3 linked regions of the Callithrix jacchus genome follow. The protein of the gene in region 1 purifies or fractionates together with the protein of each later gene. This does not show direct contact. Links are inferred from orthologs where the notes say so. Each region holds a gene or a part of one and is shown on either strand. Other genes may lie near its edges.

Region 1 (4,229 bases):
TTTAAACAGTCGAGGCCGGGTGCGGTGGCTCCAGCCTGTAATCCCAGCACTTTGGGAGGCCGAGGCGGGCGGATCACGAGGTCAAGAGATCGAGACCATCCTGGTCAACATGGTGAAACCCCGTCTCTACTAAAAATACAAAAATTAGCTGGGCACGGTGGCGCATGCCTGTAATCCCAGCTACTCAGGAGGCTGAGGCAGGAGAATTGCCTGAACCCAGGAGGCGGAGGTTGCGGTGAGCCGAGACTGTGCCACTGCACTCCAGCCTGGCGCCTGGCGACAGAGACTCTATCTCAAGAAAAAAATAAAATAAAATTTAAGCAGTCGATAGAAAATAATTCCTGATTTTATCCAAGAGGCAAACGGTGAAAGAGCGAACATTTAGTCTGCCGATCACCTGAAGGGAGCAGCGTGGTAAAGTACCCAGGAAGCCCTCGGCACTCGGGGCAACGGTGAGCTGCTAAAGCAATAGCGCCACCTACCGATCCACGCGGTACTTCCTGGAAGATATTGGCTCCCCAAGTCCACCGTGATCGTGCCCCCCCCCGCTGTGACCCAACCCAAATCTAGTTGAGTCACTAGCTGTTAATACTCGTCCCCGCGCTCTGCGCTCTATTCCAACCTCCTCTTCCTCCGCAAGGTTCGGCTCCGCTCCCGAGCGTGAACCAAACACCGCCGCTGCAGAGTTGAGGCTGGAGACGGAAACCAACCGAACGACTCCACCTGGAGCGGCGGCCCGGGCGGCTCGGTGGTCCAACCCCGGGAGGGGGCCGCAGGCGCCGCACCGTAGCCTTTCCCTGTTGCCCCACTCACTCAGCCCGCACTCATCTCCGGACCGAAACCCCGGGACCCTGGGGTCCGGGCTCCGCTGGCCCTTCAGCCCGCCAACAGCCCGCGCCCCGCCTCCGCCCCCTCCGGGAGCGGCCGCACTGAGAAGCCCAGAAATCTCCCTCCGCCGGTCTTCGCCCCGAGACTCCGCTCCTCCGCGGCTCTCCCCCGCGACACCCGCCCGGGCCCCTCTACCCCGCCGGCCGAGCCCTGCCCAACTGCCCTTCTCACCCTTTCATCTTCCCCGCCTGCTGAGGCCGTCGTTACCACCGATATCAACGCCGCCGTCGTCGCCGCCCTCCGGTCTCCGCGCCCTCAGCTCGGACCACTCCACCCCGCAAGCCGGCCTCCTGGCCGGGGCAAGGAGCTGAGCTAGCGCCGAAGGCCGCGAGAGTCGAGCGAGGGCCTAAATCTCCGGTGGGGGCGGGGCTGTCTCCCTCCGCCGCGCAGGTCCCGCCGCTTCCCCACACGTGCGCTCGGGTCTCAGCTCCCTCCCGCCGCTACCGCCAGCCAGACCAGCCGCCGCGCGGTGACCTTTCACCCCGCCCCTCTGCGCGCCGGCGCGTCCGCCGCCTCACGCGCAGCCGCACTGCTCGCCCCCGCGCACCCTGCCCCCTCCACCCCGGAGCCTCCATCTTTCTCCCGGACTGTAGCTTCCGGCGTCCTTCTCCTCCCTCCCACCTATTACACTACTTGTGTGGCTGGCTCGGTAGGCCCTGGCGGTAAAACCCAGATTTTTCCACCCCTTCCTCTCCTGCCTCGTATCCGCACGATCGGTCTTTCTCGGACCCCTTCTTCCCGGTGTGTGGTCTCCAGAGTGACCTTCAAACGCTCTTGCCTTCCACTAGGGTTTTGTAAGGCTGGTTCTAATAAATGTAAATAAATCTGCGGAAAGCTCAGGTAAGTTAGGTGTCTTAAAACAATTAGACGTAGTTAGCGATGGGCCCGATCGCTCGGTTACTCTCCAGCACGCTTCCAGTTTTGAGCTCACGTGATGGACCCCAACCTCAGAGCCTGGAATTTTACAGGCGGCTTCCGGAGGGAAGGAACCCCGCCGCCATTTCCTGTCCCTCGATAGCGGCGTGAACGTCACTTCCTTAGCAGTGCGCTTTAGCCCTTGCTGTCCGCGTCTTCCACGTTGTACTTTACAACACGGTCCTTGTGAAAATTCATCTTTATTTCTTTAATCTAAGGAGATTAATATTCAAGGAATCTGTGAAAATACGGGCCCCCAAGTTGTAGCGAGATGGGATGAGGGAAGTCAGGGCGGAGCTGGACGTCACATGACTGTTGGACCCGCCCCCCTCCTCTGCAGCTGAGGACTTCCCCGCCCGTGGTGACAGAGCCTCTGGGTCCTCGCTCGGTACCGTCTCTGCACCTCGCGCCCCAGCAGGTGAGCGGCGGCCGGTGACTGGCGAGTGGTGGGGGCAGAACAGGTAAAAGGGGTAGAAGAAGGCAGAGCAGAGAGGAGGGAGAGTGTGAACGGCGACCTCCCTGCCTGAGGCTTCTTCCCCGCTGTCACCCTGCAGGGGCAAGGAGCTCATTTCCCCTGACTCCCCCTTCCCCAAGTGTGGTCGGCCCCGCTACTTGGGGATTGAGATGTCCACCTTTCCCAGGGTTGGGAGTGAGTGCGGCCATGATGATTCTGTAGTCAGAGCCTTTGGGGCTTCGGGTAGCAGATTATTTCAGCCGTTCCACAGGGTCTGCAGTAGACACTAGGTCCTGTTCCTTAACGCCCATTCTTTGGCAGAGATCCTCAGCGTCCTTACCCTCAGCTCAGGGCTGAGGAGCGGGGAGGAGGCAAAAACCCTGCAGGCAGAGGCGTCTCCGGTGAGACGGGCTTGGGAGGGACTGTCAGATACGGCCCTGACTGCGGAGTCGCTGTGAAGCTTCCCTCCGAATGTGCTTCCTCAGTCATTCTAAGGGTTTTATCTGACATCCCTGCAGGGAAGGTTCCGCAGATGTTCACGTGCTTCAGATGGGACTGGAAGGGTGAAAGAAGGGCTTCTACTTTTCCTTCTCTGAGGGAGAGGACAGTTGAAGGAACACTGTCTCCAAAACAGGGGGTGTTAGTAATGCGACAGTCTCGATTGAATGAGGAGGCGTTGAAAGATGGTATTGTGGTGTCGTGGTGTGCGGGGGGCCCGGGCTAGTTTAGGGAAAAGTGAGTAGGGTTCCTTGAAACCGAAGTAAGAAACTGACTGGGTTGGAAATACTGTTAAACCGGATTCATTTGGCCGTATGCTTAAAGGTAGAATCAAGTCGAGATGTTGCTGTCTGCACATATTTTCTGCCTTTAATCTTTCCCTTTTTGTCCTTGTCCCCTAAGATATTACTAAATTGCCACTCCCAGAATATTCCTCGACCCGCTTTATAGTAAATTTAGGTGAAGTAGAATTTGTATCCCTCCTAAATTTTCCCAATTGTAAAACTCCCGGTGTCCTCTTCAAATTTTGATGAATAGTATTTTGTGAAAATACAGTTGTTTTGCCCAGGTGTTGTCCAACCTGAGTACTCCCATTCTGTCTGTAATGTATTACCAGTGTTTTGACCCCAAGCCACGGGCTTTAGGGAAGAATGTTTTTCGGTTTGTGGTTAAACTCTTTTTATTTGTACTGCAAACTCAGAAGGTTCCATGCTTCTTTTCACTGTTACAAATATTACAAATTTTGTATTTAAAATTTAAATTACACCTTAATATGAAAAATAGTATGTTCAGTTAAATCTTGTAGTTTTCTAAGATAATTAAAGAAGACTGCTGAAAAATGAGGAAGATGGAATCACCTTTGAGTGGTGGATGTGGCTGATTTATTTTTGTTTTTCTGTGTCTTCCAAATGCTATACAATAAACTGGCCTTATTTTGTTAAGGAGAACAAAAAGTTAATATTCTAGAATAGTAGCAATTTAACAAAGTACTTTTATAGTAAGTTCAAAATGCACAACCTGGCTTATTGATGCTCCTTGCTAGGAAACAAGGAGATGAAGATGTTGCTTTCCCCAAGTAGTGAAGAGGATTACTATTATCTCTTGTGGATTTACCGTTTTAGTATTTTGTACTTAGGATCCATACTGGACAATAGACTACTATATTAATACATGTATGTCACCATGCCTGCTTTTGATATATTTGTGTGTGTGTGCATGTATATGTATGTGTGTATGTGTGTCTGTGTATATATATTTATAGTTTTAGCCGTTAATTTTCTCCATAATAAGATTTCCTTGATTTCTAGAGGAGAGAGGGAAAAAAGGAAGTGTTACTTCATTGACCAGGTGACATTGCACCACAAAAGGAGAATTTCTTAAGTGCCCTGGAAGTCCTAACTAGTCCTGTCTGGCTGATACCAAAATGGGAAAGAGAAAATCAGTTAGAAGCCATTGACTACTAGAGGGGAAAATA
Region 2 (4,129 bases), on another chromosome or scaffold:
ACACTTCTCCAACCCACACCCATGACTGCATACTCTCCTCCTCTTTTGGCAAGTCCAAGCAATCTTCTGACATTGTATCTGATGTAGAAACTTAAAAACACTTCATTTTTCTACTGATAGACAGCGTTTGGTTCTCCCACAGTCCTACATGCTTTGCAGATACTCTCATCCTCACCCCAACCCACTGAATCGTGTACTTTTATTGCATGTATTTGATAGATGAGGAACTGGCGGGACAGGCACTAAGTAACCCAGGCAAGGTCACAGAGCTGCTAAGTGGCAATCAGAATTCAATCCCTGCTGTCTGAATGGAGCCCTTCAGGGCTGGCCACAGAGTCTCTGTATACAGTACTACACTCTGCTGCCTCACATTTTTTACATTTACTAGTAAATCTGTCCTCCTGCTCTCAGATGACAATCTGTCTTTTCTGTCCTGAAATGCCATCTCCTTTTGAGTGTACATAGTTTACGACTACTGACACGTTATTATAAAACAGTTCCCTTTTAGAGACTTTTGAACACTAAGAAGTAGAAATGCGTTTTTCCCAGACATGAAGACAATAAAATCTGGGGCTCTTTCTCTTGAATTTTTTATTTCCGTTTTCTTAAATGCTACTTTATGAAAAAACTTAATTTTCAAAAAGTTAGGGTATTTTGGCGATACCCTAGCAACTGTTAAAACAACCACTGTGATCATAACTTACTTAATAGTAAGCCTAAAGATTAGTTTATGTTAGTATGATAACCTCTCTGAAAGCAAAAACTAAAACAGTAACAAACTAGTTTTAAAAACTTCCAGTAATCAAAACGGAACTGTGGAAATATGCCTCCTCATGGTTTGGTTAAGGCAAAGGTATTTTTTCCCCCTTCCAAATTAGTTCTGTGGAGTGGTTTTAATTTTTGAATTCGAAAGGTTAATTAAATTAGTGGGAAGAAAAATAACAGAAGGGGCGGGAGAGACATTAAGCACCAAGAGTGACGGAATGCATGAAAAGGAAGAGGACAGACTATATTTTTAAAGCGGAACACTGCCGACTGATGATTTAAAAGCAATATTCCAACGGGATTAAGGCCAGGACTAGGACCTTTATATGCTGACTGAGGTTCGGATTTAAGCTCCAAACAGTGGTTGTCTCCAACAGAGCGCTCTTATTTAAAATGATCCTTTACTAAAAGAGCTTCAAATGATCCTACAGATTTTTTTAAAAAGGTATTTCTAAAATATTTTGTAAAATATTCTGTCTTAGTTTCAGAAACTCTTTCCATTTTTTTAAAGATCAACTTAGAAACCAAGGTTCTAAAAATACTGACAGGTAACATGAATGCCTGGCAAGAGGGTAAGGACAGGAGGGCTGATGTTTGCAGAGCACTACTGCGTGACAGGTGCTGTCCCAGGAAGCTCACTGAGACCTCGTCTATTTGTTCACTATCACATTTTGGCACTTCCCACAGTACCACCGGGCGCAGTGCAGGCACTCAGGTCAGTTAACAAGTGGGACAGTCTATACAACAGATAATTCAACTATAGTGACCTTTTAATTCCCATGAATGTTCTTTTTCCATATTAGAGAGAAAAAAAAAGATCTTACTTCCAAGACCAAGCCACCAAAATTTTTATGTGGCTAATTCACATCAGATTTCATTCTGAAAATCTCCTATATCACTATCAGTTATCTGCCTAATGAAAAATGTATTTATTTCAACTAATGCTTTATGGACCCTTCACATAAATTAAGATACAAAAATCTAGTTTAGCACTGTAGCGCCTTAGAAATCCTCCATGCTGTTAACAGCAGGGAATTGCTAGGACACAGCCTATATTCCTCTTGGCAGTGTGTCTGAAATGCTTCCAGATTCTGTCAAGCTTCAAAACTGAACAGCACCACCCACAAACCAACTTTTTCCTGCCGGCTTCCAGGCTTTCTAATAGGCATTTCCCCCAACCCAGGTCGCCCCACCCGGAACTACTGTTTAAAATTCTCGAGACGCGTGGCACCCTTTGGCTGCATGGCACTTAACAAACGCCACTTAAAGCCCACCGAACTCCTTCGCCTAAAACCTTCGGGCAATTTCATGACCTTGCAGGGTTACGGTTTCAGCAAGTGGTTTCAAGGCGGTGCTAGGTGTCCTTCCCTTCCCCGCCATCAGACAGATCTGTAGGGTCCCTTCTGCAGCTAGACCACCCTCAGGGGCATCGAGGATGCTCGCCTTCGCTGTTCTAGCACCCAGCAAAGCGCCCGCGACACGGGAGGTGCTCGACGGCCACGCTCTGTGACTAGATCGGATCTTAAAGGGTCAGTCTGCCCAGCGCTGAAGGGTTTCGAAGGGCGTCAAGGACAGAGCACAACTTAACCTTCCACTGGGTGGTCTCTCTTGCAGGCCCCGAGAATGGGGGCCTGGCTCGCAGTGGAAGCTCAGGAAGTACTGATTAGCTGAGGGAACCCGAGGCCGCAGTCCGGAGGTCCCAGGTGGCTCTCCGGCCTCAGGGGACGGGGCGGGACCTGGCTCGGCCGGAACCCGGCCCTGCGCACGCCTCGCCGGCTTCAAAGCCGCATCCTGCAGCCCCCGCTACCCCGCGCCTCCGAGGGGTCAGGGGCCCGCGCAGGCCCTACGACTCCAGATCGGCCCCCGGGCCCAACCCCCCTTCCCTGCCCCGTGCCCGAGCTCTTCCATCGCTTGCAGTCCTGGCGATCTTCCCGCAAGCTCTCATACCATTGCGGCTGCAAGGTCCAGGCCGACAGCCCAGAGACGCCCGCGCGAGAGAACATGGTAGCCGCAGCTCTGCTGAAGGTCGGTCACTGAGGCCTCAGCGCGCGTGCGCAGAAGCTTCCCAACACGCCCTTCCCACTTCGCTCTCTTCTTCAGTCTCATTTCCTCGCGCTACAGCGAAGAGAGTCTCGCGAGCGTTGTAATGCGAGAGTCCCACCTCCTTCCGCCTCACAGCAGGGATTTGTCCCGCCCACTGCCGCCAGCCCAGTTCCATTTCCGGCTGGCTGGGCTCTGGGGTCTAGAAAGTGATCGCTGCCGTGGTCGCCATGGGGAAGTCGGATTTTCTTACTCCCAAGGCGATCGCCAACAGGATCAAGTCCAAGGGGTTGCAGAAGCTGCGCTGGTATTGTCAGATGTGCCAGAAGCAGTGCCGAGACGAGGTGAGTGGGCCCGGGGTGGCCCGTCTTCCCAGGAGGGCCCCTGGGAGTCCAGGATCAGGTCCTGCATGCGGGGCCGAGGGCTGCCAGTAACAGTCATCAGCTCTAACTTGACTTGGCTCTTAAGAGAAACAGGGTGGTTAGGATTCACACCTCTTTTGGGATCAGGTGAAAAAGGAGCGCTAAGCTCTTTCGTACTACTCATCTAGCAAGCATTTATTGAGACCTACACTGTACCCGGCACAGAATAATACTGTGGTTAAGATTATGGATTTATCTGGTTTATAGATATATCAAACCGTCAAAATTTAAAGTTAAGCTGGGCCACTTGCCAGCCGTGTGTGGTCTTGGGCAAGTTACTTACTTATTCTCCTTTACTTATCTGTAAAGAGGGAATAATAATTCCACCTACTTGTAGGATTGTCGTTGAGTTTTAAATGAGTGCAGTGTATAAAGAGTGGCTCAAGGAGTCTGAGCAGATCTTGAAAAGCCTTGTATGCTGCTCAATGGAGTTTACACGTCTCCCCATTACAGAGGTGGTTGATGGAATGATCACATCCTAGTGATGTGATCGTATTTTCCTCCGGAGATTGGACTGGATTGGGTAAGGGTGGAAGAACACTGAGGCAGTTGGAATAATCTAATTTAGTGTTTCTACGAGTGAAGGAAGAGATATTTTAGGTGGGACTCACACTGACTAACATTGATAGTTATTCTCTTTAGTTCTCTCTATTAATGAATGTCTATATGTCCATTATCTAATGTCTTAGACTGCTTGGACTGCCATATAAAGTGCAGTAGACTGGGTGGTTTAAATGACAGAAATTGATTTCTCACAGTTCTGGATGTTGGGAAGTTCAAGATCAAGGTGCTAGCATGGTCAGATTCTAGTGAGGGCCTTCTTGGTTTGCAGAAAGCTGCCTCTCTATCCTCACAAAGCAAATAGAGCAAGCTCTAGTAGAGACTTCTCTTCCTCTTTTTTT
Region 3 (4,120 bases), on another chromosome or scaffold:
TTCTACAACACTGCCTAGAAGGCTGCCAAGTGAGCTGGTAATGAAGATTAATAAGGGTGCACAACGGTGTATTCAACATGCAGGGACGGTGTCAGGAAGGGGGATGATAAGATTATATGTACGCAGATCCCTTTTTATGAGCAGATACCGATGGCTGGGTTCGATGGCTTACACCTGTAATCCCAGCACTTTGGGAGGCTGAGGCAGGTGGATCGCTCAAACCCAAGAATTTGAGATCGAAATGGGCCACATAGTGAGACCCTGTCTCTACAAAAAATATACACACACACACACACAAGCACACAAAATAAAAAAATTGGCTGGATGTGGCAGCACATGCCAACTACTTGAGAGGCTACAGCCCCAGCTACTTGGGAGGCTGAGGTGGGAGAATCACTTCAGCCTGGGAAGTTGAGGCTGCAGTGAGCTGTGAACACTCCACTGCACGCCAGCCTGGGTGATAGGAGAGATATCCCGACTCAGGAAAAAAAAAAAAAAGAGACACATTAGGCTGGGTGCAGTGGCTCACGCCTGTAATCCCAGCACTTTCAGAGGCCAAGGCGGGCGGATCAGGAGGTCAGAAGTTTGAGACCAGTCTGTCCAAACTTCAAATGGGGTTTCAAATACAGTGAAACCCCATCTCTCTAAAAATACAAAAAAAGTAGCCAGGTGTGGTGGTATGCACCTGTAATCCCAACTACTCAGGAGGCTGAGACAGGAGAATCACGTGAACCCAGGAGGCAGAGGTTGCAGTAAGCCGAGATCGAGCCATTGCACTCCAGCCTGGGTGACAGTGCAAGACTCCATCTCAAAATAAAAAAACAATAAAGAGAAGACACATTAACTTTTAAACAAACTTTTTTTTTTAAATAAATAAGGCCATGGAAAAAACTAAATTTTTTAAAACTAGGGCGGATGAGACTAGTGAAGGCCTCAAGATCTAGATGATGAGGGTGGTGAAGGAGTCCGAGGGAAAGTTTGGCATGAACCAAGATCACAAGCTAGGAAGAGGGCACTCAGTGATGAGGGAATCACACTTTCTCCACAAAAAAGAACCTAGCCTTGTGATCCTTGTCTCCTGTGATCACCCACCCATTCATTCATTTATTTTATTTTTTTGAGGCAGGTCTCCCTCTGTCACCCAGGCTCGAGTGCAGTGGTACAATCTCTACTCACTGCAACCTCCACCTCGCGGGTTCAAGCGATTCTCCCGCCTGTCTCCTGAGTAGCTGGGATTACAGACACTCACCATCATGCCTGGCTAATTTTTGTATTTTTAGTAGAAACGGGGTTTACCATAATGGTCAGGCTGGTCTCAAACTCCCAACCTCAAGTGATCCACCCACTTCGGCCTCCAAAAGTTCTGGGATTACAAGTGTGAGCCACCGAACCAGCCTCATTTGTTTATTTGCCAGTTAAAAATTATTTACTGAGCACCCACCCCCAGCTGGTAACTGGGTTAGATTTGTTCTCTGAGGTCCCTTTTGGTTGGAAACATGGAAAATTCTTGAAGTAAAATTTGTCCTTCTCCCATGACAACTTGGGTCACTTTACCAGACAGCTTAGAGATCGGCAGATAACAGCCTCCCAGGTCAGGGGCTACCATACCCCAGGCAGCAAGAACCAGTCTCAGCCGGCAGCCCTGGGCTGGGCTGTTTAGGGGGAAACAGGTGAGTGGCTAGGGTCAGGGGCCCTGGAGATGAGGTGAGGGAAAGAATAGGAGGCGGCTGGTATCCTCAATTCCAGACACCAGGCCACCAGGTGGATTAAAGGCATGCCTTCGACGACACTTAGGCATGCCTGACCTAAGTCAGGGAGTGAGGGATTGAGTGCAAGTTTTAGCAGAAGGCTCTCACAGTCCTGATATTTTCTGCCTACTGTGCTCAGGACCAAAGAGAAATTCCGAGGCCGACTGAGGAGAGCTGCAGAGTGTGTACCTGGCTTACCAGAGGCAGAAAGGGTTGGGATTGGGTTCAAATTCCAGCTCTGCCTCTGTCGACTCGTGACTTTGGTGTGTGCCTTAACCTCTCCGAGCTTTAGTTTTCTCACCTGTAAACAGGACAAAATCACCCCTGCCTTCCAGGTCGATGGTAAGCCTCTAAAGGAGGGGAAAGCAGAACAAAGTCCGAACCCACTGCCTAGGTGCTCATCGGGGATGCGGTTCCTTTAGGGGGGCAACTCGCAAAAGAGCCGAGCCCTACTTGGGAACAGGCGTCCAGGTTGGCAGTCGCCGGGGACTGGGCGCTCTGAACGCTCAGCCATGGAGGGGGACAGGTTGTGCTGACGGGCGGTGCCCGTCACGAGCTCTGTTCCCCTTCTTTCCTGACACACGATCATGTGAGACGGGAGCTCGTGGACTTGATACAGCTTCAGTCCCACCGAGTCCCAAACGGGAACTTGGGGCGCGGAGGCCTCCGCTCCGAAAGGGCGGGCGGACTTCCAAGACCGTCCCCTTACCCGCGTCCCGGCCTCACGCCTCGGTCCCCCGGCCACCTCCGCCCTCGCCCCGCACTCCATCCGGCAGCAGAAGGGCCCATTCAGGCCTCGCGGGCTACCGTACCGGAAAGTGTCTTCGATCTCATTGATGGTTGTATCCTTCTCCACCACCAGGAAATTGGGGTGGCGGTTCTTGTTAAGCTCTCCTATGCCGCCCAGCAGGAAACCAGTCACCGTGTCCTCGTCTCCGATCACTGCGATGAGCTTCCCCCTCCCCGCCATCCCTGCAGCCGGGCAGAGATCACCCCCGAGCACCAGAAGCCACCGAAGCCCCGCCTCCGCCGTGCGGCTCCCCGTTGGCCTCACCCCCACCCTTCGAGCATGCGCAGTTCTCCCAGCCGCCTCCCGGGACATGCGCATTAACAGCAACACGGCCTCAGTGTGAATGCGCCTGCGCCGTAAAGACAGGCCCGAACCAGCGGACTACGGTTCCCAGAAGGCCGCGCGGCACGACGTCCTTCGCGGGAATTCATTCGTTCATTCACTTCTTCCTTGGTTCATTCGTTAAACAAGCGTTTTGAACCAGGCACTGTTAAACGCCGAGACCCCAGAGCAGAGACGCAGTTACTGTTTCCTGGGATTATTCTCAGGGGCAGGGTCTGGGTCTTTATTGTGTATGTATGTATGACACATAGTTAACTCATACACATCTGTTCAATTAAAGGAATGCAGAAGTTAGTGATGATACTGTCTAGTGAGGTGGAAAGTCAAGGGAACAGGCGATTACAAAGCTGTGTGTTAATTGTTAGAATGTAAGAAGTACATGGAAGCGCACATCTATGGCAACTAACCCATGGAGAGAGGGGGCGTCCAAAGAACCCTTCCCCCAGAAACTTGCTTCGCATCTAAGCTGAGACCTGAAGGACCTGCAGGATGAAGGGGATAGAAATGAGGACAAGAGGGTGTTCTAGGCAAAGGAACAGTATATGCAAAGGCGTACTGAGTAGAGAGCGTAGGGCCTTCAGGGAAAGTTAAAGAATTGGTAAGGCCGGGCATGGTGCCTCACCTGTAATCCCAGCACTTTGGGAGTGCTCCCGAGATGGGGGAGGATCACTTGAGCTCAGGAGTTGGAGACCAGCCTGGGCAACATAGTGAGACTCTGTCTACAAAACACTTTAAAAATTAGCCAGGTAGGCTGGGTGGTTCATGCCTGTAATCCCAGCACTTTGGGAGGCTGAGGCAGGTGGATCACCTGAGGTCAGGAGTTTGAGACTACCCTGGCCAACATGGCAAAACCCCATCTCTACTAAAAATACAAAAAAAATAGCCACAAGCAGTTGCGGGTGCCTCTAATCCCAGCTACTCAGGAGGCTGAGGCAGGAGAATTGCTTGAACACAGGAGGTGGAGGTTGCAGTGAGCCTAGAATGCGACATTGCATTCCAGCCTGGGTGACAGAGCAAGAGTCTGTCTCAAAAAAAAAAAAAAAAAAAAAAAATTAGCCAGGCATGGTGGTTGCACACTTGTAGTTCTAGCTACTTGAGAGGCTGAGGTAGAGTGGCTCACTTGAACCCAGGAGTTCAAGGTTACAGTGAACTATGATCAGGGCACTGCACTTAAGCCTGAGCAGCAGAGCAAGATCCTGTCTCAAAAAAAAAAAGCACTTTGGGAGGCTGAGGTGGGCAG

What was found. Proteins that work in one complex are often made in the same cells at the same time.
Region 2: the proteins of ATP6V1A (region 1) and ATP5F1C fractionate together in Homo sapiens (co-fractionation; 3 studies listed by BioGRID). This does not show direct contact. The link is inferred for Callithrix jacchus from reciprocal best matches to the Homo sapiens genes ATP6V1A and ATP5F1C.
Region 3: the proteins of ATP6V1A (region 1) and ATP6V1F fractionate together in Homo sapiens (co-fractionation; 3 studies listed by BioGRID and IntAct, with this or other methods). This does not show direct contact. The link is inferred for Callithrix jacchus from reciprocal best matches to the Homo sapiens genes ATP6V1A and ATP6V1F.

Annotation. Positions count from the first base shown.
Region 1 is NC_133516.1:103,480,498-103,484,726, reverse strand, and holds the start of ATP6V1A (V-type proton ATPase catalytic subunit A), read left to right. Parts: upstream 1-1,429; 5' UTR 1,430-1,728; exon of another isoform or gene 1,729-1,844; intron 1,845-2,169; exon of another isoform or gene 2,170-2,264; intron 2,265-4,229. Other genes in the region: NAA50 (N-alpha-acetyltransferase 50), read right to left, coding at 1,060-1,067. UniProt on the Homo sapiens protein: Catalytic subunit of the V1 complex of vacuolar(H+)-ATPase (V-ATPase), a multisubunit enzyme composed of a peripheral complex (V1) that hydrolyzes ATP and a membrane integral complex (V0) that translocates protons.
Region 2 is NC_133508.1:6,148,765-6,152,893, forward strand, and holds the start of ATP5F1C (ATP synthase F(1) complex subunit gamma, mitochondrial), read right to left. Parts: upstream 2,801-4,129; 5' UTR 2,769-2,800; coding exon of another isoform or gene 2,713-2,768; intron 1-2,712. Other genes in the region: KIN (DNA/RNA-binding protein KIN17), read left to right, coding at 3,036-3,149.
Region 3 is NC_133512.1:118,317,782-118,321,901, forward strand, and holds the start of ATP6V1F (V-type proton ATPase subunit F), read right to left. Parts: upstream 2,801-4,120; 5' UTR 2,719-2,800; coding exon 2,561-2,718; intron 1-2,560. UniProt on the Homo sapiens protein: Subunit of the V1 complex of vacuolar(H+)-ATPase (V-ATPase), a multisubunit enzyme composed of a peripheral complex (V1) that hydrolyzes ATP and a membrane integral complex (V0) that translocates protons.